Mus musculus: one gene and its partners. The protein of the gene in region 4 purifies or fractionates together with the protein of the main gene of each other region. This does not show direct contact. Links are inferred from orthologs where the notes say so. Each region holds a gene or a part of one and is shown on either strand. Other genes may lie near its edges. The genes, in order: Ddx56, Cbx5, Gtpbp4, Mecp2, Ybx1, Kpna4 and Kpna3.

The links.
Region 1: the proteins of Mecp2 (region 4) and Ddx56 purify together in Homo sapiens (affinity purification with mass spectrometry; 3 studies listed by BioGRID and IntAct, with this or other methods). This does not show direct contact. The link is inferred for Mus musculus from reciprocal best matches to the Homo sapiens genes MECP2 and DDX56.
Region 2: the proteins of Mecp2 (region 4) and Cbx5 purify together in Homo sapiens (affinity purification with western blotting; 3 studies listed by BioGRID, with this or other methods). This does not show direct contact. The link is inferred for Mus musculus from reciprocal best matches to the Homo sapiens genes MECP2 and CBX5.
Region 3: the proteins of Mecp2 (region 4) and Gtpbp4 purify together in Homo sapiens (affinity purification with mass spectrometry; 3 studies listed by BioGRID and IntAct, counting the BioPlex papers as one, with this or other methods). This does not show direct contact. The link is inferred for Mus musculus from reciprocal best matches to the Homo sapiens genes MECP2 and GTPBP4.
Region 5: the proteins of Mecp2 (region 4) and Ybx1 purify together in Homo sapiens (affinity purification with western blotting; 3 studies listed by BioGRID, with this or other methods). This does not show direct contact. The link is inferred for Mus musculus from reciprocal best matches to the Homo sapiens genes MECP2 and YBX1.
Region 6: the proteins of Mecp2 (region 4) and Kpna4 purify together in Homo sapiens (affinity purification with mass spectrometry; 3 studies listed by BioGRID and IntAct, counting the BioPlex papers as one, with this or other methods). This does not show direct contact. The link is inferred for Mus musculus from reciprocal best matches to the Homo sapiens genes MECP2 and KPNA4.
Region 7: the proteins of Mecp2 (region 4) and Kpna3 purify together in Homo sapiens (affinity purification with mass spectrometry; 3 studies listed by BioGRID and IntAct, counting the BioPlex papers as one, with this or other methods). This does not show direct contact. The link is inferred for Mus musculus from reciprocal best matches to the Homo sapiens genes MECP2 and KPNA3.

The regions. Positions count from the first base shown.
Region 1 is NC_000077.6:6,264,930-6,269,229, reverse strand, and holds the start of Ddx56 (probable ATP-dependent RNA helicase DDX56), read left to right. Parts: upstream 1-1,500; 5' UTR 1,501-1,510; coding exon 1,511-1,570; intron 1,571-1,650; coding exon 1,651-1,812; intron 1,813-2,258; coding exon 2,259-2,419; intron 2,420-2,547; coding exon 2,548-2,718; intron 2,719-2,823; coding exon 2,824-2,914; intron 2,915-3,473; coding exon 3,474-3,718; intron 3,719-4,300. UniProt on the Homo sapiens protein: Nucleolar RNA helicase that plays a role in various biological processes including innate immunity, ribosome biogenesis or nucleolus organization. Plays an essential role in maintaining nucleolar integrity in planarian stem cells.
Region 2 is NC_000081.6:103,205,353-103,208,852, reverse strand, and holds part of Cbx5 (chromobox protein homolog 5), read left to right. Parts: intron 1-3,174; coding exon 3,175-3,361; intron 3,362-3,500. UniProt on the Homo sapiens protein: Component of heterochromatin that recognizes and binds histone H3 tails methylated at 'Lys-9' (H3K9me), leading to epigenetic repression. In contrast, it is excluded from chromatin when 'Tyr-41' of histone H3 is phosphorylated (H3Y41ph).
Region 3 is NC_000079.6:8,993,213-8,997,259, forward strand, and holds the start of Gtpbp4 (nucleolar GTP-binding protein 1), read right to left. Parts: upstream 2,801-4,047; 5' UTR 2,785-2,800; coding exon 2,737-2,784; intron 1-2,736. UniProt on the Homo sapiens protein: Involved in the biogenesis of the 60S ribosomal subunit. Acts as a TP53 repressor, preventing TP53 stabilization and cell cycle arrest.
Region 4 is NC_000086.7:74,082,891-74,086,817, forward strand, and holds the start of Mecp2 (methyl-CpG-binding protein 2), read right to left. Parts: upstream 2,801-3,927; 5' UTR 2,697-2,800; coding exon of another isoform or gene 2,620-2,696; intron 1-2,619. UniProt on the Homo sapiens protein: Chromosomal protein that binds to methylated DNA. It can bind specifically to a single methyl-CpG pair. It is not influenced by sequences flanking the methyl-CpGs.
Region 5 is NC_000070.6:119,277,514-119,281,013, reverse strand, and holds part of Ybx1 (Y-box-binding protein 1), read left to right. Parts: intron 1-1,802; coding exon of another isoform or gene 1,803-1,814; coding exon 1,815-2,049; 3' UTR 2,050-2,080; intron 2,081-2,646; 3' UTR 2,647-3,500. UniProt on the Homo sapiens protein: DNA- and RNA-binding protein involved in various processes, such as translational repression, RNA stabilization, mRNA splicing, DNA repair and transcription regulation.
Region 6 is NC_000069.6:69,089,093-69,092,592, reverse strand, and holds part of Kpna4 (importin subunit alpha-3), read left to right. Parts: intron 1-2,515; coding exon 2,516-2,685; intron 2,686-2,772; coding exon 2,773-2,817; intron 2,818-3,500. UniProt on the Homo sapiens protein: Functions in nuclear protein import as an adapter protein for nuclear receptor KPNB1. Binds specifically and directly to substrates containing either a simple or bipartite NLS motif.
Region 7 is NC_000080.6:61,370,448-61,373,947, reverse strand, and holds part of Kpna3 (importin subunit alpha-4), read left to right. Parts: intron 1-861; coding exon 862-990; intron 991-2,972; coding exon 2,973-3,077; intron 3,078-3,174; coding exon 3,175-3,246; intron 3,247-3,402; coding exon 3,403-3,500. UniProt on the Homo sapiens protein: Functions in nuclear protein import as an adapter protein for nuclear receptor KPNB1. Binds specifically and directly to substrates containing either a simple or bipartite NLS motif.

The DNA of each region.
Region 1 (4,300 bases), on a different chromosome or scaffold from region 4:
AACCCATTCACAGGGTCCACCTAAGACCAGCAGAAAAGACACATTTACATCATGATTCATAAGAGTAGCAAAATTACAGTTGTGAAATAGTAAAAATGATGTTCTGGATGGGGGTCACTTCAACGTGAGGAACTGTATTAAAGGGTAGCAGCATTGGGAAGGTTGAGAAGCACTGATCTAGATCATCAGTTTGAGCTCACTGCAGTCACAGGTGCCAGAGTCCAGCGTTTTGCAGTTAGGCTTCTAGCCCCACCTTAAGTCTCCCCCTTTTCCTCTCCTTTGCTGCTGATTGAGACTCTAAGGCATCATGCACGCTAGGGAAGTGCTCTACATTGATCCTGTTGCCCACTTAATGACCCCTTTTATTGGTCTTTTCCTTCAGCTCAGCCCCTCCTGTTATCAGGAGGGCTTTCCCTTTCTTAATAGGTGGTCACTATAAGACCCTGTTGGTAAATGTTTTTAGTCCCCACCAATCTCTTTTCTGTTATTGCCCTAACAATAGTTACAGCGCCCAGAAGAAATGGGCCTAAGGTCAACTGACACTTTTTTGGCTTTAGGTGTTTTAAGAGGTCCCAAGGAAGGGTGGTAGTGCATGCCTTTAATTCCAGCACTAGGGAGGCTGAGTCAAACCAGTCTGGTCTACCTACCAAGTTCCAGGCCAGCCACTACATAATGAGGCCATGTCTCAAAAAAACCAATCAATCAATCTTCCCCAGGCAGTGATGGCACATGCCTTTAATCTCAGCATTTGGGAGGCAGAGGCAGGCGGATTTCTGAGTTTGAAGCCAGCCTGGTCTACAGAGTGAGTTCCAGGACAGCCAGGGCCACACAGAGAAACCCTGTCTTGAAAAAAACAAACAAACAAACAAAAAAAAAAAAACAAAAAAAAAACAAAAACAGAAGAAAAAGTCCTAAGGACATTCCCTGGTAAGGAATTCTCAAAGAATGGGCCTTATTAACATGTGTAACAAAGTCTGATTTTCGTTTTCTGGGAAAGATGGTCCCAGGAAGGGTTCGAGTCAACTTGGCTCTTCTTCTAAGAGCTGTTAAGGATTGCACCGCGTGTTGGCAGTATTTGTGAAAATCTTCATAGTAGCTGAAGGCCTGATTTAACATTTATCTTAGGTTAGCAACTTGTGCCGCGATTTCTGCCCAGTGAGATTTGCCTCTGGTTACCCACAGAACCCTAATTCCTTTGCGCATGTGCCTAAGTGGCGGCTGCCTCCCTTTAGCCAAAACGCGGTCGATCCCAACCATAACCTAGCAAAGCCCTGCCCACGTCACTCTGTGGGTCAGGGAAGGCTGAGGCGCCAGAGAAGAGGCATCCACAATTCGGAGGGCGTTCAAGGGACAGCATTGCGGAACGCTCCTGCGCAGAGCCAGCACAAATTGGTAGCAACGTCGGACACCCAGGAGAAAGTACTTCCAGGAAGTGACGTACCTTCCAGAGCTGATTAGTTGTTGGTTTGTCCCGCCCTACGCGTGCGCACTGACAGCGTGGAGTCACGCCATGGAGGACCAAGAAGCGCTGGGTTTTGAACACATGGGCCTGGATCCCCGGCTCCTGCAGGTATGGGGTAGGCTGTGGAGCTGCTACCCGGTGTGCCGCTGTACTCCACGCCGCTTGAGCTGCGTCCTCTTCCTTCTTAGGCTGTCACCGATTTGGGCTGGTCGCGACCTACGTTGATCCAGGAAAAGGCCATTCCTCTGGCGCTGGAGGGGAAGGACCTCCTGGCCCGCGCCCGCACAGGCTCCGGGAAGACCGCAGCTTATGCTATTCCGATGCTTCAGTCGCTTCTCCACAAGAAGGCGGTGGGTAGCGAGAGGAGCAGTGAGTATGAGGCAGGACGCTCCAAAAGAATAGGGAATGAAGTGCCCGACTGTGCCAAGGTTCCTCCTATAGGTCCTGTGTCAGTGTTAGGCGGCCCATAGAGAACTTGGTCAATTTGCAGCTTAATCTCTGAGCTGGAGTTCAGGTTACTTGGCTCTCAACCCGGGCCTTGGTGCCACGACCGCCATCCTGTTGTAATTTTGAGTAACCTTTTATCTAGAGGGGGACTCATCAGCTCCGTAGTACGTTAAGTGATTTCAGCAAGTTCTAAATTTGAGTGCCTGGGAAAGCTCTGCCCCCTGTGCTGTGAGGTGGGCAGAATTAAGAGTTTATCAGGACACAGCTAGGTGGTTGTGTTGCAGTACATGGTTCTGACTGTTTGGGCGGACCCAGTACTTTGAACGGTCTTGAATTGGTGTTCTTACAGACAGGTCCTGTAATGGAGCAGGCTGTGAGAGGCCTTGTTCTTGTTCCTACCAAGGAGCTGGCACGGCAGGCCCAGGCCATGATCCAGCAACTGGCTGCCTACTGTGCTCGGGATGTGCGAGTGGCTAACGTCTCAGCTGCAGAAGACTCAGCTTCTCAGAGGTGGGTGAAACCTGCAGGCCTCCAAAGGGAGAACGCTTTGCAAGTGTGTGCCCTTGGTGGTGTGAGTGGCTAGCCTGGGCAGGTCTGCCAGGGCGAGGGTCTGGCTGCTAAATCCTTGCCACCTGCAGAGCTGTGTTGATGGAGAAGCCAGATGTGGTGGTGGGAACCCCATCCCGAGTGTTAAGCCACTTGCAGCAGAACACCTTGAAACTCCGGGACTCCCTAGAGCTGCTGGTGGTAGATGAAGCTGACCTTCTTTTTTCCTTTGGCTTTGAGGATGAACTCAAGAGTCTTCTCTGGTAAGGAAGAAACAGAAGTGGCTCCTAGACCTGCAAGGGTCTGGACTTGGGACTGGAGTGGAATGGGTGGGCTGGAGCCTGATCAAGCCCTGTTCTTTCTTTCAGTCACTTGCCTCGGATTTACCAGGCTTTTCTCATGTCGGCCACTTTCAATGAGGATGTACAAACTCTGAAGGAGCTGGTACTGCATAACCCGGTAAGTGGAGCATCTGGGACTGAGACCCAAGTCTCTGAACTTGTTGATCCTTCTCAGGAAACTTCTGGCGCTTGCGGGGGGACTATTTTTGTTAGGTATGTCTTTCCTAATTCTTAATCACTGAAAGGAAGTCACTTGAAGTCATTATATATTTATAGCTTTCCCTAGTCCAAACTGTGCTTTGCTTGGAAGTCACTTGGGGTCACGTTTCCAAAGGGAGCCAAATTCTAAGACCAGAGTTCCCCTTGTGTACATTTCAGTCTTCTACTTCCAGCCATTGTGCAGGCTTCTATTCTGTATCCTGTCTACTCCCAATGTTTGTCTTTGTGCTGTACACTGATGCTGTATGTATAGTTTGTTTCTAATACCACAATAGTTAGGGTACTTTTGAGTTCTTAGGTTACAGCCCTGAGGTGGGGTGGGGGATGGGGCAGTGGCTCACACACCAAAAACCCTTAAAGACATGTTCTATCCTGCACTAATGTAGTTGCTTTGGTTAGTGAGGCAGTGTCCACAGAACCACTTCTCTTTCCTGATCACAGGTCTGTCCTCTTCCTAGGTTACCCTCAAGTTACAGGAGTCCCAGCTGCCGGGGCCAGACCAGCTCCAGCAATTTCAGGTGGTCTGTGAGACAGAAGAGGACAAGTTCTTGCTGCTGTATGCCCTGCTCAAGCTGTCACTGATTCGGGGCAAAGCCTTGCTCTTTGTCAACACTCTAGAGAGGGGTTACCGGCTCCGTCTTTTCCTGGAACAGTTCAGCATTCCTTCCTGCGTGCTCAACGGAGAACTCCCACTGCGCTCCAGGTCCGCTGTGTCTGTCTTGATAAAGATAAGCTGAGAAGAAACATGGAAGGAGAACCCAGTTGGTTCTTTCCCCTTTTACGAGATGGGTTATGCTGTATTTGTAGTCCAAGTTAGCCTTGAATTTAGAGCAGTCCTCAGATTTCTAAGTGCTGAGATTAAATTTGTGGGCTGCCTCACACAGCTGGTCTTATTTCTTCTCCTCCCGCCTCTTTGCAGTGTGAGGGATTGAGCCCAGAGCCTTGTTCTTGCTAAGTAAGCACTCAACCACTCAGTTATACACCTAGATCCCTTTTCTGTTCTGTAACCACTTGCTAGGAGCTAGCCTCTCAGTATGATGACAACTCTGAAATAATTAGCTGCTGCTCCATTAAGGAAGAAAGGAAGGAAGGAAGGAAGGAAAATTACGAGTGTAGGTGTTTTATTGCCTGTGTGGTTTATGTGTCCTACGTGCGTAGCTGATGCATAGGGAGGCCATAAAGGGTGTTGGATCCCCTGACATTGGATTTACGGAGTATTAGTTGCCATGTGGGTGCTGGGACTAGGACCTGGGTCCTCTGGAGAGCAGCCGAGCGTTTAGTCCTT
Region 2 (3,500 bases), on a different chromosome or scaffold from region 4:
CTTTGTAGACCAGGCTGACCTTGAACTCAAAAAGCTGCCTACCTCTGCCTCCCAGGTGTGCACCACCACTGCCCTGCCAGATGTCTTTCTTGTGTTCATTGATACACATTGGCTTGCTGGCTAATGGGCCTCAGGGATCAGTCTGTCTTCCCATCCATAGCATTTATTTTTTCTTAGTTTTTTTGTTTGTTATTGTTTCTGTTGTTGATATTTGAGACAGTGTCCCATGTGTCTTAAGTCTGGACTCAGAGCTCCATTAGATCTTTGTAGTTTTAGTTTTCTAAAACCTGTGCTACAAATAGAAAAAATTTTTTAAAGATTTATTTATTTTATACATGTGAGTACACTGTTGCTGTCTTTAGACACACCAGAAGAGGGCATCGGATCCCATTACAGATGGTTATGAGCCACCTTGTGGTTGCTGGGAATTGAACTCAGGACCTCTGGAAGAGCAGTCAGTACTCTTAACCGGTGAGCCATCTCTCCAGCCCACAAATAGAAAATTTGGAGGTCAACTTTGAGAATATAAAAACTCAGAGGCAGCCGGGCGTGGTGGCGCATGCCTTTAATTCCAGCACTTAGGAGGCAGAGGCAGGCGGATTTCTGAGTTCGAGGCCAGCCTGGTCTACAGAGTGAGTTCCAGGACAGCCAGGGCTACACAGAGAAACCCTGTCTCAAAAAAACCAAAAAAAAAAAAAAACCCTCAGAGGCTTACATGTTGGTTCATTCTGTACTCTAGGTATTTGGAAGGCTGAAACAAAAGAATTTCAGAGAGTTCAAGACCAGCCTGAGCTACATAGTAAGACTGTCTTTAAACTCAAAGAGAAGCTGAGTATTGTGGCATGTACCATTAATTTCAGCACTCTGAGAAGTAGAGACCATTGATTCTCTGTTAGAGGTCATCTTGATCTACCTAGCAAAGTTCCAGGCCAGCCACAGATCCTGAGTAAAAATAAAATAAAAATAGGCGGCCTTTTTTCATGGAGAGAAGATATGCTAGGGATTAATGCCATGGAGCCTTGCTTACAACTGGACAAGCACCTTTACCACTGAGCTATATACCCAACTTCTAGACTGGGTTTGTTTTGTTTTTTTTAAAGATTCAATTGGGGGGGGGGCTTGTTTTGTTTGGGGGTGTTTTTGTTTTGTTTTTAAAAAGGCAGTTGGAGCCGGGCGTGGTGGCGCCCTTTAATCCCAGCACTAGGGAGGCAGAGGCAGGTGGATTTCTGAGTTCAAGGACAGCCTGGTCTACAAAGTGAGTGCCAGGACAGCCAGGGCTACACAGAGGAAACCCTGTCTTGAAAAACCAAACAAAACAAAACAAAACAAAACAAAACAAAAAACGGCAGTTGGGCAGTGGTGGCACATGCCTTTAATCCCAGTATTCTGACTTGGGAGTCAGAAGCCGGTGGATTTCTGAGTTCAAGGCCATTCTGGTCTACAGAGTGAGTTCCAGGACAGCCAGGGCTACACAGAGACCCTGTCTTGAAAAACCAAAAAAAAAAAGGCAGTTTCTCTTTGTGATCCTGGCTGCCATGGAACTTGATCTGTAGATCAGGCTGGCCTCTCCCTTGTTGGGATTAAAGGTGACTACCACCACCTGCTAATTGTGTGAGTGTTTGTCTGTGTCTGGGGAGGGCGGGTAGTATGAATACTTTGCAGGTACCTGTGGAGGCCAGAGGGCATTAGATTCACTGGAATTGGAATTACCCATGTTCAGGTCCTCTGCAAGAATAACAAGCACTCTTAACTACTGAATCATCTCTCCAACCCCCAAATTGGTAGTTTTAAATGGGTTTATTAAACTATAATTTATGTGCCTTAAGAGTCAACTACTCTAGGCAGTGGTGGCACATGCCTTTAGTCCCAACACTGGCTTTTAACCCCAGCATTTGGTAAGCAGAGGCAGGCAGGTATCTTGAGTTTGGGTTCAGTCCACAGAATGAGGTTTAGGACCGCACTCACTCTCAAAAAAATAAAAAATAGTAAAAGAGCCACCCATATCCATTGAAATTGTACAATGTGATGTTTCTTGTTTTGTTCTTTGAGACAAGGGTTTTGTCTTATTTGTTGTTGTTTGTTTTGTTTTTTCGAGACAGGGTCTGTAGACCAAGCTGGCCTTGAACTCAGAAATCCACCTGCCTCTGCCTCTCAAGTGCTGGGATTAAAGGCGTGCACTACCTACCCAGCTTGTCTTGTTTTTCGTTTTGTTTTGTTCTGTTTTGTTTGGTTTAGTTTGGTTTTTCGAGACAGGGTTTCTCTGTATAGCCCTGGCTGTCCTGGAACTCACTTTGTAGACCAGGCTGGCCTCGAACTCAGAAATCTGCCTGCCTCTGCCTCCCAAGTGCTGGAATTAAAGGTGTGCGCCACCATGCCCAGCATTGTCTTGTATTTTTGAGACAAGGTTTCTCTCCTTGTAGCTCTGGCTGTTCTGGAAACTATTCTGTAGACCAGACTAGCTTTGAACGCTGAGATTGGTCTGGCTTGTTACTGTGTGTCCATTACAGAACATTTCTTCAGTTTAATCTAAAATATATCTTGCCAGGGTATGTCAGAGAAACGGAAACAGAAAGAAAGCGTATGTTTTCTTACAAACTCAGTATACTGTTTTTGAGATTTTTCTCAATGTATTTTGTTTCTTTTTGTTGCTTAATACTATTCCATTATACAGTTGCATCATATTTTTGTTCATCCATTCATCAGTTGGTGACTGTTCAGGTTTGTTTTAGGGTTTGGCTACTAAAATGTTGCTATAGGGCTGTACTCTCTGTGGTGGAGCAGATATAAAATCCTGGTTTAGGGTTTGATCCTCAGTCCTGAAAAAAATACTGCTGCTATAATAGTTCTTTACATGACTTTTATGAACATACTTTTTCCCACGTCTCTTCTGTGAATATTGAAGATTAAATTTGTTGGATTTCTTTTTCTCTGCAGAGCTGCAGCTCAAGCCTATGGCACTGCATATGCTAGCGCCTTACCATTGAACTATACCCTAAGTATAGATTTCCTGTCCTTCCCTCACATGTCCTCCTTACAACAACCCTTCGCAATGAAAACAGCTAAGCTAAGGATGTAGTTTGCAAACACTCGCCAGTTCTGCCGAGATGGGAAGTGGGTGAAAACAGGGCATTATCCTATCCCTCATTCTTTCCTTTTGTCTTTATTTTTGTCCAGGGAGCACAATACTTGGGAACCTGAGAAGAACTTGGATTGTCCTGAACTAATTTCTGAGTTTATGAAAAAGTATAAGAAGATGAAGGAGGGTGAAAACAATAAGCCCAGGGAGAAATCAGAAGGAAACAAGAGGAAATCCAGTTTCTCCAACAGCGCTGATGATATTAAATCTAAAAAAAAGAGAGAGGTGAGCTTCCTGCTCCTGTCACTGTCCTCTTGCTCCTGCTGTGCAAACGGGGTTTAGGTTTTCTCTTCTAAGGATGGACCTTAAGGTATATTGTTAAACAAAAGCTTGCAGGGAAGTGTGTTGATTAGCTACAGTGACC
Region 3 (4,047 bases), on a different chromosome or scaffold from region 4:
GCCAGGACCTGAGTTTGGAATGGCTGAAAAACTTGTGAATACTTCCAACTGATGGAGGAGGCCCCTTCCTTGTCACTCTTCCAATAAAAATATGCCTGGGGTAGAAGAGAGGACTTGCTAATGGTTGCTGAAATATATTTTACCCCATGTTTTTTAATGCTATTTTAACTTTCAAATAAACTCAAGAATAAATCAGAAGAAAAAGAGCCAGCTCTTCAATTTCAAGGATTTTGTAGCTTTGATTTTAAAGGGGTATAAAATGAAAAATCTAAAACTCATCATCTAAAATTTCCTGGGTATGCTGAGTAGACTATTTGAGATATTTGTACTTATTCACTTTTACCCAACCATAGAAAGCTGTTCTACTTTCCCTTGATCACTTCCATTAATTGAACAATATTGATCATTTTCTATAATAAAGGATAGAATGAACACAATGCTGAAGACAAAACAGTGAAGAAGACACTAAGATCCAACGAAACAAAACCAAAGGCAAGCAGGTAATCACAATACAGTCTGCCAGATTACGGAGAGCATGGATACTCAGGCCTGCTGCTCTTCTACTCTGTTCCTTTCCATGGTCCTCATATCTTTTAAAAGTTGCCTACTGAAAAGTTTCTCCAAACTCACCCATTTATTAGTATATTCTTTGTTTTTATTTTTCTAATCAGGGTTTCTCTGTGTGTAGCTTTGATTGTCCTGGAATTTGCTCTGTACACCAGGCTAGCCTCAAACTCACAGAGATCTCCTGCCTTTGCCTCCTCAGTAGTGGGATTAAAGGCATGCACTAACACCGACTGCCCAGTTCTCACTACATTCTTATGTTATCCCAAATCTCTGATATTTACAGGAGTTTATAGTCAGGGTTCCTCCCACCCAAGCCCTCGCCCACCAAAACAGAGAGATATTTGAGTTCACTTTATAAAATGGCACAGTACTTGTGTGTAGAAGAATCCACATATATTTGTCATATACGGTAAATAGCTGTAACTATATGTAGGGAATGCTCCTTTAAAAAGTCTATGTGCATGGTGGCTCACGCCTTTAATCCTAATCCTAGAGGCAGAAATGTATAAGTTCCAGGCCAGCCAAGGCAGACAAAAAGAAAGCAAACAAACAAAAAAGAGAAAATAAAGTCTATGTACATTAAATATAGATGCAATTTTCAAATAGTGTTTTTAATCTGTGTTGGTTGACTCTGGATTTGAACTCATACAGAGGGCCAATTGGAGCTCACACTTCTCCATCATACTGCGGTGGGTATAAACACATTCAGTTATTCCTTCAGAAAATCCTTTTTTTTTAAGATTTATTTACTTATTTATTTATTATATATAAGTACATTGTAGCTGTCCTCAGATACTCCAGAAAAGGGCATCAGATTTCATTACAGACGTAACGTGGTTGCTGGGATTTGAACTCGAGACCTTCGGAAGAGCAGTCGGCGCTCCTAAACCACTGAGCCATCTCGCCAGCCCCCAGAATATGATTCTTAAAGACGCAGACTATTCTATGTGTTTCTATACACAGAACTTGGCACACACTTTACAAAAGCACCCCATACTCTTCAGATTGACTTTTTATTTCCCACCACCTATCTACACACATGCAAACTCATCTGCAAACAGACCTCCTTCAGGGCAACAGAGACAAAGGCTGCCTTTCCTAGGTCAATTATATCAACAAAGTTCCTTTGACCCAATGAACTCTATTTCCAGTGAAATAAAAAGTGTACGAGTTCCTTCAACATGCACTTGAGAAGTAGTGGCGACAGTCTCGTGGGCTAAAACAAAATGTGATTCCTACATGTAGTTTCTTTCCAATTATTACAAACGTGTGAAAAACGTATCAGAATGGATATCAGAAAGAGGAAGAAAGGAGAAATACAGAGACGTGTAAGGAAAACAACTAGTGGAAACATGGTTTTTGTCTTTTCAAGACAGGGTCTTTCAGAGATCCGCCTACCTTTGCCTCCCTAGTGCTGAGACTAAAGGCGTGCACTACCACGCCCACCAGAAAATACTAGTTCTTTACACAAGTTTTCAAAGCAAGCTCATTCAGAAAGGGGGATGTCGAAAACACCCACACTGCGGTCAATTTAACGATAGTGACACTGGTTCCTCTAACTGATTCTGCAATTTAATGCCCATGGCTTGCCAGAGAAACCGGTGTATCCTTTTAGGTTCTTTAGCCTACCTCATTCTCGACATTTGGGAGGAAAGCATCTTGCTACGTTACATAATGTGGGCCTGGCTACTTGCGTGCTTATAACCAATTGCATCTTTTAAGTCCAACGACAAAATGACAGCTACCTAAAATCTTTTTAGACCGTGACGTCACGAATCAAATTCTACTTAAAGGGGAGGGTACTCACACGACGCTCACCACTGGCCCCTTCAGGCTTCCTACCCTGCTCCTTACTGTGGCCACCACCCAGACACTTTGTCCCGTCGGCAGGCCACACAAGAATCATAGGCTCTGGAACGGCCCTGATGTCTTGGAGGGATTCTAGGGCTTAGGGTACCCAAGGACAGCAGGAGAGGGGCTTGGTTTCAGAGAGTGGGACTGATCTCCGAGGGTCGCGAGGACAAAGCCTAGCAAGCGGAGCTCCGCACTGAGGGCCGAGGGACTGCACGGTGTCCTCCCTCCCCCAGTCTCGGGGATACAGGCCTGGACCCTCCCTGGCGACTTGTCGGGGAAATGGAGATAGGCGGAAACGACCTCTGTCACCCCTACCTTGGCAGACGGCACCACCGTAATCTTCTTGAAGTTGTAATGCGCCATGCCGGCGGTGGAACGCACGAGGAACCAGGAGAAGCGGAGGACCGGACTTCCGCCGGCGGAGGTGGGCGGGACTTCCGCTATCCGGCGTGACACAACTTTGGCTGCCGGACTCAAGCGTTACATCATTTCCTGAATGTCCGCGAGGCGTGGCCCACGCGTCCGCCTAGACAGGCTTCTAGTCCCACAGCGTCCCCGCTCGGCCGGGAAGTCCGCCGCCAAGAGCCGCGGTAGAGATCTGCTGGGTTTAGAGGTGGGAGAGATAACCTTGCGGGGTGAAAGGGAGACTCCCGGCTGGCCACCTTGGCGGGGCTCTCAGGAAACACTGCCCTCACCCAAGCCGGCTTCGGGGCTCCAAAGGGTGTTTCCAGCCACCTCTGGGGACGCCGCGGCCAGAGCGAGTGACGAGCGGGAAGACGCAGCGCGGGGCTTCTGCATCACTTTGGTGTCCCTTGAGCAAGAAAGGCTGTCTGTCGCCTGGCAGTGTGGAAAGTTATTTATTCGAGTAAATTATGTTGACGGGGCTTCTGTTAATGGAGTAGACTGCATACTTCCAGGTGGCCCGAGTTTCCTCTCCTGACCTTGCAGTCTCGAGGTGGTTTGTGGGTGCTCCACCTTCACCTGACCTTCACCTGACATGGGCCAGTGAAAAAACTCTGCCCCCCACACAGCTGCCCAGAACCCAGGCACCAGACATAGACACAAAGTCTGATCCGTACAGACCTACATGGATTGAAGCCAACCTTCCCACTTGCGTTTTCCCTGTCAGTTTAATTAAGCCACCCATTTCTTTACCTTAATCCATCTACTCTTGCCTCATGATTATCTTTTAACTAAAAGACCCTTTCTCAGGTGTTGCCATCTTCTTCAAACCTTTCTCCCTATTTTTCTGTGACATCCATCATTCTGGTACTTGATGTCTAGAATGCAGTCTTCTTTGCTAATTTACCTTCCTGAGTCTCTCCCTAACTAGATAATCCTCAAGGTTCTTCCTCTCCTCAAAGTCTCCTTTCTCCTTTCTCCTTCACAGCCCCAGTGTGGACTACTTTGATAATACAAGTTGCTTTCAGCCTGGTGTCTTTTTTAATTACAATCAGACATTTTCAATCAGACTCCAGATATGTTAAATTGGGTATTTCCCAAGAGCATTTACTTTCTGCTTTTCTGACTAAATGCATCTCTCTGTGCTGTTGGAAAGGACAGTCTCGGGCTGGTGAGATGGCTCAGCGGGTAAGAGCACTAACTGCTCTTCTGAAGTTCCTGAGT
Region 4 (3,927 bases):
ACTCCATAGCTTTGCCTCCCTATCCCCAATAGATTAGGCTTCATAGAAGCAGATCAGGTAGAGTGAACCACTCTATCTGGAAAATACACAGATTGCAAAAACATATCATAACCTTCCAAAATCTTTGTGGTCTATGTGTAGTCTTTGTGGTCATATGTACCTCAGGAGTCAAACAGCACAAAAAACAGAGTAGAAGGCTAAGGATGTGGAGTGATTGCCTAGCATGCATGAGGTCCTGGGTTTGACCACCAGTATAACAATAACAAAAAAAAAAAAGGAAAAAAATAATCCTTAGAGTACAATGGACAACATGATGCTTTCTTCTTCAGTGAAATAGTGACCTGTTACTGTAGCTTTAAAGTACTCAAGACACATTCTCATGGAAAGAAAATAGGCATATGTGATAGATCAATACTAGCAAGAAAGCCATACAGTTTCTTCAAATTCTTAGGACACACTAGCTTCAGATGTCACCAGGCACTTTGAAAGGAAACTGTGTTCTAGAAGTTGCTTACGATGTTTAAAGAGCTATGGGTACAACAAATAGATAACCAGAGGGGCACCTGAGGAAGCAAACCTGTTGTAAGAATATAAAAACAAAGTAAAGGTTCCAACTCTGAGCTCAGGCTCAGATGTACAAACCTTGGAATTTTTTGACAAGCAAGACTTGGGTGTGTTTGTGAAAGTGAATGCACTCTGTCGGCCATGTGTATTAACTCATTTTAGATCATTTGTACTTTTACAGTGTTTGGACTCTTTAAGGTTCTGACATATCCAGGTAAGAAAATAAAAGCAAGTGTTTCCTAGGCTTTCTGAGTATGACTTGAATTTGAAGTTAAAAACAAACGAAAAACCAAAAGTCTGTAAATATATTTTTCCAAATCCTTGGTGGAAACTCCCCAAGGACCTAACAATCCAAATTTTATCTTTTTATAGAGATTCGACATATTTCAAAGAACCTAAGATATCAGTTTAATCATGTTATTAATTGAAATTGCTGAGATTCACATAATTCCAACCACAAACCCAAAATTCTCCTCTACAGTAATAATTACCTATTAGTGAAATTTTACTACCCAGGCCCAAATTGGTTTCATTTATGTAGTATAACAAAATATCTAGAACTTGTCCTACAACATCTCAGTCACTTAGCACTATAAATTAGTCCATTCTGTTTCATGATCGTCATCAACCACCCTGTATTTGAGCCTACTGCCTCACTGTAATGATTCCAAACAGTGGAGTCAACATGCAAATGACTCAACAGAGCCCATTTGTGTTCCTGGAAAATTAACCAAGAGTACATATCTGCCTGACTATGAGTCAGGAATATCAAATTTGTGGTGGAGCCCATTTTTGTTTTGATCAACCTATACCCGAACATACAAGGAACCAGCATAGAGGTATCCCCTAACAAGCTTTGCCCTTCAGGGGTCCATACTGAACAATGTCATACCAGGGTCTCTCTTGTGAGAGGGAATCTTTTTTAGACTCCATGATGACTTTAAACCTTTAGTGCAAAACCTCAGAAACATTGCCACTGCCACATAAAAGTCACCTGTGTTTTATTTTCAGTGATTCAGCCATAACCAAACTAAAAAGAGAATGAACTTTCAAAGATAAGTGACAGGAGTCACAGCGATGCGATGATCTCGCCCCATTTGGTACTGGCGATCCTGAGCGCTCCAGGACGAAGAGAGCCCGTTACATACAACGTCCCATTCCACTTATGTAACTGGATGATCGCTGGCGAAGGGAGGGGAGGGAGGGTGGGAAGACGCTCATATTCCGAAGCCACAGCACAGCATCCCCAAAGAACCAGAGCACCCTGCGGGCATGGTCTCACGGAAGAGCTTCGAGTGCTGAGGAACGCACAGTCCCTTGCCCACGGTTCCTGATGAGAACTACAACCATCTCTTTATGATGAGTTGTGGGACCTAGGAACATAATGTCTAGTCCTTTTTGTGGGTGGACAATAACCCTCAACTTGTTCCTGCCAAGTGGGGAATGGAGCTGATGGACCGACTCGCTTGCAGTGGGGGCAAAAAGTCACGGAATGGGAGAGGAGGAGGAGGGAGCAAAACCCAGAGATGGGGGTAAGAGCTCAGGAGCCCTTGTGGCGCACTCTCCCAACGGGAGATGGACTGCGCACGCGCGCCAGTCTGTGTGTGTGAGGGGGGAGCAAGTAACGGGAGTGGGGGCGCGCGAGGGAGAAGGGGACAGCGCGATCCAGGGAGAGGCCGGGACCGCGGGCGCGCGACAGTGCCGAGGCCCAAAGCCCCAAGAAGGGCAGGAGCGCGCGCAGCCCCAACTGGCGAAGCCCAGACGACAAGGGCGCTTGCACAGCTGGGGCCTAGGATGCGCACAGATGGGGCGGGCAGCGGGAGGGCGTCATTCGAAGGTGGCTCCAGGGAGATCGCGCTGAGAACCGTCGCTCGCGATTGCGGGAGACGAGTGGAGAAAGCCACCACCGGCGGCAGAGGGAGGGGGAGGGTAGAGAGGAGGGACGCCATCCGCCAGCCGTGTCGCCCGACCCCGCGGGCCCCTCCCGCGCCACGTCCCGCCCCTACCCGCCCCCCAGCAAGGGTCCCCGCCCGCGGCCTTGGCGGTCCCACTCACAGTCTCTCCTCCTCGCCTCCTCCTCCTCCTCCGCTCGGCGCGGCGGCGGCGGCGGCGGTGGCGGCAGCGGCGGCCATTTTCCGGACGGGTTTTACCACAGCCCTCTCTCCGAGAGGAGGGAGCGCGCGCGCAACCGATGCCGGGACCCCGCACGGCAGACGTCGCGCCCCGCCCTCCCGACCAGCCTGTGTGCTGCTGCACCTGCGCGCCCGCGCCCCACCCCTTGCTCTTTGTCGAGATTACCCTTCATTGGTTGTGGAGCCCAGGCTGGGGCGGAGCCTTAGCGGTGACGCCCTCAATTGGCAGGAGTTCCTGTCTGTTTAGGCAGGGAAAAGAGGCGGACCCCATTCAGCTGCGGATTGGTGGAGTTCTACTGTCACTTGGAAAAAAGAGGCGGCTAGGGCACAGAGGGGCTGGTTTTGTGGGCAGCATTTGAATGTTGAGGATTAACTGGGCCCTTGTGGACTCTGGCGCTTAAGGAAGTCTAGGCTCTTGGCGCCTATTAGAGCCTCCCTGCTGAGTAGTTCACCATTGTGATAAGCATTTGACTTCACCAGCATTTCTTTATTATCATTTTCTGTAGAAGTAGCAAAGTTGCCTGTTGAGGAGCCTGGCGTTGTTCCAAGCCAAGGGACTTGTTTTAAAGGGTCTACTGATTGTATTATTACACTAAATTAGCAGATGTCGCACTCTTAAGGCTGACAGTAAAATCAACATATCAAACCTTGGTCTTTGCAGACGTTTATAATGGGCAGATGGTGTGTGCCAAGCCCATAAGAGATCGGTCTGTCATTGTTGAATCAGATGGTTTGATGGAAGTACGTATAAAAGGGAGTGAGGCCAGAGGGAGCATTGTCAAAGCAGCCTTACCCTGATACCAGTCAGCATCCAATGCTCTTTGTGCTAAACAAATGCTCAACAAGAGACTTTCTTTCTTTGTTTGTTTTTTAAACACTATGCAACAAGAGACTTTCTGATTCAAATTTGGCTCCCCTCTCTATTCATTTATTTGCTAGGCACTGTTTTAGTACTGAACAAGGAGACAAACTAGACTCCTGGTAAGGAAGAGTCATACTAAACATACAAGAAAGTAGAACTTAAAATTTTGCACAGAGATAAAGACTTTGAAATAGATAGGGCAAGGACAAAAGAAGTGCTATTATGATACCCTCTAGCTTTTGCCCTCATGTCGTCTCCCAATATGGGTAATTGGGGAAAACATTCTAGGCAAGTTTAAACACTCTAAGGAAGGACTATGCCTGCCTTACTAAGGAGGCCAGTGTGACTGGAGAGAGACCTAGGCCACCA
Region 5 (3,500 bases), on a different chromosome or scaffold from region 4:
TTGAATCCTCTGTCCACTTGTCCAAGTACCCTCCTGATTTTGACCCTCCCACCCCCAATTAGGTGTGTGTGGTGTGTTTGTGTGTATGTCAACATTTGTGATCTTTTAATCTTTTGTGTGTGTGTGTGTGTGTGTGGTTTTTTTGAGAAAGAAGGGAGAATGAGAATATTTAAGTTGCTTGAGCTGCCAGCTTCAAACGACCAGCCTTCCTGCCTGGCCTCTTGAGTAGCTAGAATCAAAGGCCTTTACCCTGGCACCCAGTGTGACCAGTGCTCTGTGTTGGTTTGATTTCTTTTTTTTTTTTTTTTTTTTTTTTAAGATTTATTTCTTTATTTCTTTATTACATGTAAAGTACACTGTAGCTGTCCTCAGACACTCCAGAAGAGGGAGTCAGATCTTGTTACGGATGGTTGTGAGCCACCATGTGGTTGCTGGGATTTGAACTCCTGACCTTCGGAAGAGCAGTCGGGTGCTCTTACCCACTGAGCCATCTCACCAGCCCTGATTTCATTTTTGAGGCAGTGTCTCACCTGGTAATTCTGACTGGCCCAGAACTCATAGAAATTGCTTGCCTCTGCCTCTTCGGGGCTGGCATTAAAAGGTGTGCGCCCTCATGCTTACTGCCCTGTGTGTTACTCATTTGTTTTGAGATCAAGCTTTTATGTAGCCCTGACTGTTCTGAAACTCTGTGCAGGCAAGATTGGCCTCAAAACTCAGATCCAGATCGCCTGCCTCTGCGTAATGTCCCGTGTTTTTAAGATTATTAGGGACCTTTTGATGGTTCATTATAGTTGGTTATATATTTCTTAGATTTATTTTATTTGCATGTTTTGTTTGCATGTATGTGTGCCTTAGTCAGAGGCATCAAATCCCTTGGTACTGATGTTAAGAACGAACAGGTAGTTGTGTATACTGATATCTTGGGCAAATATTTTTTGGTGTTTTTAGTTGTATGTCTGCCTTTTATAAAGATAGGTATTGATCCTTTCTGCTTTGATTTTTGTTTGTTCTATATATGTATGAACGCTTGCCTGCATGTGTCTGGTGCCCATGGAAGTCAGAGAGCTTGTGGGTTCCCCAGAAACTGGAGTTAGGGTTGATTGTGAGCCACCATGTGGGTGCTAGGAATCAAACATTGGTCCTCTGGAAACAAGTGTTCTTAACTATGGAGCCATTTCTCCGGCCCTTGAATTAGTTTTATGGTAGGTAACACATTGTGCAAGCTTTAAAGTTTGCACAAAGTAAAGGATTTTCTAACCATGCCACAAATTGGTCACTTCTCAGTTGATTGCTTGTCAGTTTAAGTGTTAACAGTAGTAAATGAAACATGGTGCTACTCATGTATAAGTACATGGTGAGAAAATACTAATTTTTTTGTTCATGAACAAATAGGAAATATTAAGACCCGTGGGAAGTATAGCTCCTTTTGATGGAAAGGGTACTGGTATCGGTAAAAAATTAGGTCAAGGATTTCAGTGTGTGTTAAATGGAAATGAGAGGTTTAAAAGTACATAGTACATAGAAGAATAGTTACTGGCAAGAAAAGTCCAGGCAGAGGGAACCAGCATGGTTCTGTTTCCAAGCATTTGAGCAGCTGATTCAGCTTTATTGATCTTGGTTAATATGAATGAATGAGAATCTACTTATACACTTGGCTTTTGAGAGTAACTTAGATTTTTTGCTAAGTAAGCTTGTCTGAAAGACCACTTGAATAAATGGTTGGTGCACCCAGGTACCAAATATTACTTGTGGTAAGGCTAAAGGAAGGAAAAAAGCTGTTACTGTTTTCTGAGATTATGTAGCATTCATTTCAGGGGCCCTCCTCGCCAAAGACAGCCTAGAGAGGATGGCAATGAAGAGGACAAAGAAAATCAAGGAGATGAGACCCAAGGTCAGCAGCCACCTCAACGTCGGTATCGCCGAAACTTCAATTACCGACGCAGACGCCCAGAGAACCCTAAACCACAAGATGGCAAAGAGACAAAAGCAGCCGATCCACCAGCTGAGAATTCGTCCGCTCCCGAGGCTGAGCAGGGCGGGGCTGAGTAAATGCCGGCTTACCATCTCTACCATCATCCGGGTAAGTAGGCACCCTTGGCTTCCACTGCACTGAGCTACGGTGCAAAGAAACTGGCAGTAATAGATTAAGATAAGACATTTTATTATAGTGTTGTGCACTCTAGCACAAATTAGACAAATGTACTTTTTTGATTATGAGCTGCCTACATTCTGAATCAATGATAATTTTGGCAGAAAGCTAAGCAAAGTCTTACTTCCTGTGCTCTGAAGACAGTGTTGTGAATTTGAAGGTTTGAAAAGTAACCTTGCCAGGTTTGGCAGTGCCCACCTTTAATCTCAGCACCCACACAGAAGGCAGGCAGATTTCTGAATTTGAAGCCAACCAGGAAATCTGAGGTCTGTCATGCCTAGTTTAGCTTAATTTGACTTTACTAGCGAGTAAGACTGTTTACCTGCTCTGGTTCTGGGGTTGCCATATTTTTCAATTAGTGTCCACTTCTCTTCTTGTAAATCATCCTTTAAGCTAAAGCCAAACAGTGGGTGAAATGTGGCTGCTAGAGTGCCAATTCTAGAGTGTGGTCCACGAGCTAGACTTCGGGATGGTAATTAAGAGTCTTTTCTTTGCAGTTTGGTCATCCAACAAGAAGAAATGAATATGAAATTCCAGCAATAAGAAATGAACAAAGATTGGAGCTGAAGACCTTAAGTGCTTGCTTTTTGCCCTCTGACCAGATAACATTAGAACTATCTGCATTATCTATGCAGCATGGGGTTTTTATTATTTTTACCTAAAGATGTCTCTTTTTGGTAATGACAAACGTGTTTTTTAAGAAAAAAAAAAAAAAGGCCTGGTTTTTCTCAATACACCTTTAACGGTTTTTAAATTGTTTCATATCTGGTCAAGTTGAGATTTTTAAGAACTTCATTTTTAATTTGTAATAAAGTTTACAACTTGATTTTTTCAAAAAAGTCAACAAACTGCAAGCACCTGTTAATAAAGGTCTTAAATAATAATGTCTAGTTTTGTCATAATTGAGTACTCTCTCCCACTTTTAGAATAACAGGTAACACCAGCAGTAAGCAGTCTGTCAGGAGTGCTGTGAGGCATCAGCTGTAGCCACGTGAGTGGGGTAGAGAAGCTTTGTGGGGCCGGGCTAGTCTGGGGTGTTTCCCTCTAGAGAAGCTCCAGGGCGAGCGCACTGGCATCGCACTAAAGAACTGCTGCTGAGTGGGGACTAATGGCTGCTAGTTGTCCGCCAAGTCCATCAACTTTTTAGGCCAATTCTTTGTAGTAGAAACTAATAGGAATTGATGAAAGACTTCAGCAGCCCTATTAACATAAACACACAGAGACATGTTAGTGTTAGCTCATACCAGTCATGGTGACTGCTGTAAATACTCTGCTGTCAAGAGCATAGTGAAAGAATTCCTGGGTAAGATTCACAGGTGTGAGTTTACCGATAACAGACAGTGTTGGTTAA
Region 6 (3,500 bases), on a different chromosome or scaffold from region 4:
TTGGTAGTCAGCTCTTAGTTATTTAAAGGGTTATAAAATATATACATTATTACTAACTTTCCCCATCTATGAATAACAGTAGGCAAAAATTAAAATAATTTTTCTTTTTATAGCATACTTGAGCAGTCTAAAAACCTTGTATAAGAGATTAAAATTTAGTATATAATGTATATTTCTATTGTGAATTAACAGTAAGTATCTAATAGCCTAATTCATTATTGAACATTATCATGACCTTTGCCCTTATAAATAACTGTAGGAAAAATAATTGACACAATCTCAGTATTTTGAGCATTTTTTTAGACTAGAGGCATTTTTGTTTGCTTGTGGTAATCTGGCTGCCTGAAACTCATGGTCGTCTTACCTCAGCTGGAGAATCCCCACCCCAAGTGTGGGATTGCAAGACTATATACCGCCAAGTCTGTTTACTGGAGGCTGTATTAACTCAGACTTTAAAATTCAAAGAACTAATCCCAGTACCTAGGGAGGCTGAGGCAGGAGAATTGCTGTGAGTTCAAGACTAACCTGTACTACATAGCAAGATGCTGTCTGAAAACAAACAGAAAACTAGCTAGTGGTGGTTGCAGCACTCCTTCCTTTAATTCCAGCACTCAGGAGGCAGAGGCAGAGGCAGAGGCAGGTGGATCTCTGAAAGTTTTAGGTTTACAGAGCAAGTTCCAGAACAGCCAGAGCTACACAGAGAAACCCTGTCTCAAAAAAACAAAAACAACCCCCCAACCCCCAAACCAATACTGAAATCTGGCTTGGAAATCTTGGAAATCCCTTTTTTGGTGGTTTTTTTGTTTGTTTGTTTTTTGTTTTGTTTTTTGTTTGTTTGTTTGTTTGTTTTGATGAAGGAGGATTCTGGACATTCTTTAAAAATTAAGACACTTCACTTACTTTGTATATATGTATATGTGTGTGTTTACATGTATATTACAGCATATGTGTAAAGACTAGACACTTCCACGTGTGTTCTGAGTATTGAACTCAGAGTGTTAGCAAGCACCTTTACTCACCAAGCCATCTCAACAGCCCTAAACACTCATCACAGTCTTCATTGTTCTGACATGGAGGGTATTGTTTGTTTTGTCTTGCTATGTCTCCCTGACTGACTGTAGCCCATGTTTTACTGAACTCTGAGCCCTATTCCTTCCTCGGCCTTTTGAATTTAGAGGTTATAGGTATGTGTTTCCACAGTTATTTGCATGTAAGTGTTGTTAGCATTGTTATTGCCCCTATTAATTTTTGTGAGCAGCGTACTCTGTGAACTTACTAGTGTAGAGGACACTGCTTTTAGAAGTGACGTTGCATATCTGGGTGCCTCTTGTATCAAGCATCAAAGCTTTGTATAAAGCTGTTAAAAGTTCCCAACCTTCCTAATGCTCACCGTCATGTTGTGATGACCACTGTCTTAGTTAGGGGTTTTTCTGCTGTGAACAGACACCATGACCAAGACAACTCTTAGAACAACTTTTAATTGGGGTTGGCTTACAGGTTCAGAGGTTTAGTCCAATATCAAGATAGGAACATAGTAGCATCTAGGCAGGCATGGTACAGAAGAAGCTGAGAGTTCTACATCTTCATCTCAAGGCCACTAGAAGAAGACTGGCTCCCACATGGTTAGAAGGAGAGTCTCTTTGCCCACCCCACAGTGACACACTTCTTCCAGCAAGGCCACACCTCCTAATATTGCTACTCCCTGGGCCAGAGATATTCAAACCCCAATCATAAAGTTATTTTTGTTGCTACTTCATAACTGTAATATTGCTAATGTTAAGGATTGTAAATATCTGATATGCAGGATATCTGATATGTGACATCCCCCTCCTTAAAGATTTTGTGACCCCACTGTATCAAAGAGACATTATGGTAAATTATTATAATAAAGTAGAGAACCATTATGATATTTGTTTTTGTTTTTTTATTCTCTAATTACATGTTAGAATTATATACATCACCAGATATTATAGTGCAAGAAAGTTTTTTTTTTTCCCCTGTGGATTAGTTTTGCTTCTGATAATGGGTCTCATGTATCCTGGGCTAACTTTGAACTCACTGTGTAGCTAAACTTATCTCCATACTGACTCTACCTCCAAAACATTGTGATTAGACTTGTGCCAACACACTAGACCCTATTAAATCATGATGTATAAATTCTGCATTAATTTTCTCAATAGTTATTTAGACATATTGTATTAATGTAAAAGCTTGTTATACTGAACAAAGCATTGCGGTAATGATAACATGTCTGCTCAAAGTATTTGAAATAATCTTGGGCTTCTGCATCTTAGTGACACCCTGTAAGTGAGCAGCTTATAAAGACACATATTTGTTACATTGGTTCTCTTGGCTCAAAGACCTATAATGTCTACTTGTTAAATTCCTAGTATTTTTATATAAACTAAAAAAAATCTTATTAAAATGTTAGTAGCTGCATAATTGTACCCAGTGCTTTATGTTTTCTGAAAAAGCTTAGTGTTGATTTATCTTATTTAATTAATCCTTTCTACAGGTGATGGACCTCAGTGTAGAGATTATGTGATAAGTCTTGGAGTTGTAAAACCTCTGCTTTCATTCATAAGTCCATCTATTCCTATAACATTCTTAAGAAATGTTACCTGGGTTATGGTCAATTTATGTCGCCACAAAGACCCACCACCACCAATGGAGACAATTCAGGAGGTAAATAAAAGAAAAAAATAGTTAGATACCATTTTATGTTTTTTCTTTTAATCAGTATGTTTAAGTTGTACATATTTCTCTCCTCAGATTCTTCCAGCTCTTTGTGTATTAATTCATCACACAGATGTAAATGTGAGTAAATTCTTCTCGTATATTAATAAATGTATGTATGTGTGTATGTATATCTTCTGGACTCCCACTATGATATTGGACTGAAAACAGTGTGTAATTGTATTCTGTCATACTTTACCATTTCAAGAGTTAAGGTACTTATTTGTTATGTTTCCATTTCCTCTGTTTCTGTAGCTTCAGTGAGGAGTCAAACCTGTTACAAAGATGCAGTTAGTCATCTCCTCTCATCAGGATTGATTGTTCTTGACATTTATGCTTACTCCAGCTGCCATCTGGCTTTTGAGAATATATACACATGGTTGTGTTTTTGTATTTTGAAGCATAAGTGAATATTTAGCTTAAATACTAATTCGAGCGTGCATGCGTGTGTGTGTGTGTGTGTGTGTGTGTGCGTGTGCGTGTGCGTGTGCGTGCGTGTGTGTGCGCGCGCGCACATGTGTATGTCAAACTATGAAAACCTATTGTTCCTCAGTTCCATTTTTCAGTCTTATTTCTCCAGTTATAGCAAAGTTCTTTGATTAAATACAAATTTTAGTGTTTTGTTTTTTCAAAGATTTGCAAGACATTGGAAAGTATTCTAATATCCAACAACTTTGTTTTTCTTTCCACTTGTTTCCTAACTCTTGTTTATCTGCCACAAGATGAGCTTGTGCTTCAATGTTTACTTTTAATAGGTCTTGAAT
Region 7 (3,500 bases), on a different chromosome or scaffold from region 4:
CCTGTGTTCAGTATCCTGTTAGGGACAGCATGGTGCATATCTGATGCCTGCATTCTCCTTCATGTCCTGCTGGATTCCTGGGTTCCTTCTCCATCCTTGCTGCTGAATGCTTAGGCTCCTCCTTCATCCTGCTCTGTTTCAGGTCCCTTTTCTTTTCACTGAAGTCTTCAGTCTGCCTTTGGGATAGTATCCTAACTGCATACCTTTTGCTGTGCTCTGATTAGGGGTTGTTGTAAATTCTGCTCATTATACTTCTCTGCCAAATGTTTTACCAACTAAAAATAAATGCTGACCCAGAATGACATTAAATATATTAAATGCAGGACTGTATATGACGTGGTAGACACAAATGCATGCTAATTCAGAATAATATTAAAGTCTATGGGACCTGTTCAGTGATGAATAAGAACTGTTTTAAAGATGGGACTTCATAAATTTTAGTTTTCGCTATTTAAAAAACTTTCCTAGAAAGTTTTATGTGGAGTTCAATAATTTTCCACTGGGGGCTGGCAAGATGGCTCAGTGGGTAGGAGCACTGACTGCTCTTCCAAAGGACCTGAGTTCAAATCCCAGCAACCACATGGTGGCTCACAACCATCTGTAATGAGATCTGATGCCCTCTTCTGTTGTATCTGAAGTCAGCTACAGTGTACTCATGTATAATAATAAATAAATCTTAAAAAAAAAATACCACAAGAAATTACTGTTTAAAAGCCATTGCTTGGTTTGCTTATGGCTTTGTTGTAGGGATGGAATAAATGTTAATTTTTTGTTCCTCACAGTCTCTCAAGAGTTAATGAAAAAGACGGAAACAACAATTTCATTATAAACATGTTTAAAACTGTTTTCTTCCTCCTTCAGACTGCAGCACTCAGAGCGGTTGGGAACATAGTGACTGGCACTGATGAGCAGACCCAGGTGGTTCTCAACTGTGATGTCCTGTCCCACTTCCCAAACCTCTTGTCACACCCAAAAGAGAAAATAAATAAGGTAAAGGCATGCACTGTTGCTTCTCCTCTCTATGACGGTTTCCTCGTTGCTATTAGGATGTTTATTCAGTCATGACACTCCAGGGGAGAGATCTTTGTCACGGTTTTACTGTTTCATCACTGTCTGCTTCCTTTAGTCCCACTCTCAGCACAGAATAAAAATAGTGAATATTTGGACTTTTTATGTTTAAATAGGTTGAGCAAAATTGGTAATTATTAAGTTATTAACCAGTATACAAAAAATACATACAAAACCTCCCACAAAAATAACTGGTATTTTTAAAAAATAAACATGTAATTTAATCTTCTACAACATAGAAAAGACCTTAGGGTATCATGTCTTCTTTCAAAGATCATAAAATGTATTCCTTTAAAGTTTTAAATACACACACACACACACAAATGTATTTGTAATTGGACAGCAGACACTTAAGTAGTTTTATGTCTTGTTTTAAAGTTCATTTATTTAATAGAATGTTAGAGCTGTGTGTGTGTGTTTATGTGTGTGAGGGGGAAGGACCAAGGTCAGCATCAGTTATCTTCCTCAGTTACTCCCTACATTGTATTTTTAAAAATGACTTTTATTATTTTTAATTCTGTGTATGGGTGGGTGGGCATGTGCATATAAATGCAGGTGCCAGTAGAGGTCAGAAACAGCCCCTCCCTCCCTGAGCTGGTGGAGGTCCAGGAGGTGACTGAGCTGCCCAGGTGTTCCTAGGAGCTGGGCTCTGGTTTTGGAGAACAGATCATGCTCTCACCTTGTGTTTTGAAGCAATGTCTTTCACTGGACCTGAGCACTACAGATCTTTTGTGTCTGTGCCTCACCAGTGCTTGGGTTACAGATATGTGTCAGTGAGCCGAGGTTCTAGATGGGTGCTAGAGATCTCGTCGGGGCTCATGCTCGTATGGCAGGCACTTCACCACCTCAGCCTCCTCCCAAGCAAGCCTTGACCTGATTTGCTTTTATGGCCGAATAAGTCACTCTGTTGGATGTTATACCACATTTTTCTCATTTACCTGTTGAATGACACTGGGGTTGTTGCCACTGCTTGGCTATTGTGAATAAAGTTGCAGAAAACACTGACACATCAGTAACTTTCAAGTCTTTGATTTAGTTTACTCTCTGATGTTGCTAGAAGTTGCTGCAGTCATGGTAACTGTGTGGTAGTTTTTTGAGGACCCTTTAAACTATTTTCCCTTATGGCTGTACTTTACAGTGTATTAGGGTTTCGTTTTCTCTCAAGCTGTGTGGCTATAGTTGTTGGTCACCATGTGTCTCGCATAGGTGCTGAGTACCTGAACGCAGGTCCTCATGTTCTTGTAGAAGGCACCTTATCCACCGAACCTTCTCCCCTGACCTAATGCTTTAAAATAAATATCTTGTAGTGGAAGTAGTTTTGACAAGAATTTGGAAATTCCAATCTTTGGGCATGCCTTTCAAAATAAACTAATACAACTCTGTGGAGAAAGGTTTGAGGCTGCTTTATTTGCTGTTGTATCTACTTAGAATTATGCTTAGCTTAAAGTAGGCTTACAGATCATTACATAAACACTGGGTTTAGTGGACATACGAGTATCACGACTGGAAGCTTCCTTCCTCTTTACTTAAATGGGAAGTCTGAATTGGCTAAATAGCAGGTACAATGCTTGCCTTGTAAACCTGACAACCTGAGTTAGATCTCTAGAGCCACATGATGGAAGGAGAGAACCAAATCTCAAAAGTTAGAATTTGTCTGACCTGCACATATGCACTGTGGCACAGATGTGTACAACCTTTGCTTATATACCAAAACTAGAATCGCATACAGCGATAGTAAGTAAAATTAAAAGGGCAGTCTTGCACAACCGATCACTTTTTAGATTTGGTCACTTTAACACTACTCAGGAGATTTTGTTATCAAATATTTAAAATATTAAAGAGAAAAATAAAAACATTAAAAGTAGCTTTTTCAATAAAAGTGGTCCATATTTTGTTCACTACAGGAAGCAGTATGGTTCCTTTCCAATATAACAGCAGGCAATCAGCAGCAAGTTCAAGCTGTAATAGATGCTGGGTTAATCCCTATGATTATTCATCAGCTCGCTAAGGTCAGTTATATTATAAATTCATTATTTATCTTAATTTTTTACAACCCACATGTTTTTGATAAAGAGCTTACTTTGCGAAATTGTTTTTACATTTTAGGGGGACTTTGGAACACAAAAGGAAGCTGCTTGGGCAATTAGCAACTTAACGATAAGTGGCAGAAAAGATCAAGTGAGTATGAGAAAATTTAACTTGTCACTTTACTAATTTCAGCAAGGGCCCTTCTTATTTTTGTAAGTTACTAGATGTTTTCGTCTGGGTACTGCAGTTGTTAGAGGAAAAAGAATTAACAAATATTACAGATATTTCTTCTCTTGTATTGTCTAGGTTGAATACCTTGTACAGCAGAACGTAATACCACCATTCTGTAACTTACTGTCAGTAAAAGATTCTCAAGTGGTGCAGGTGGTTCTAGATGGTCTTAA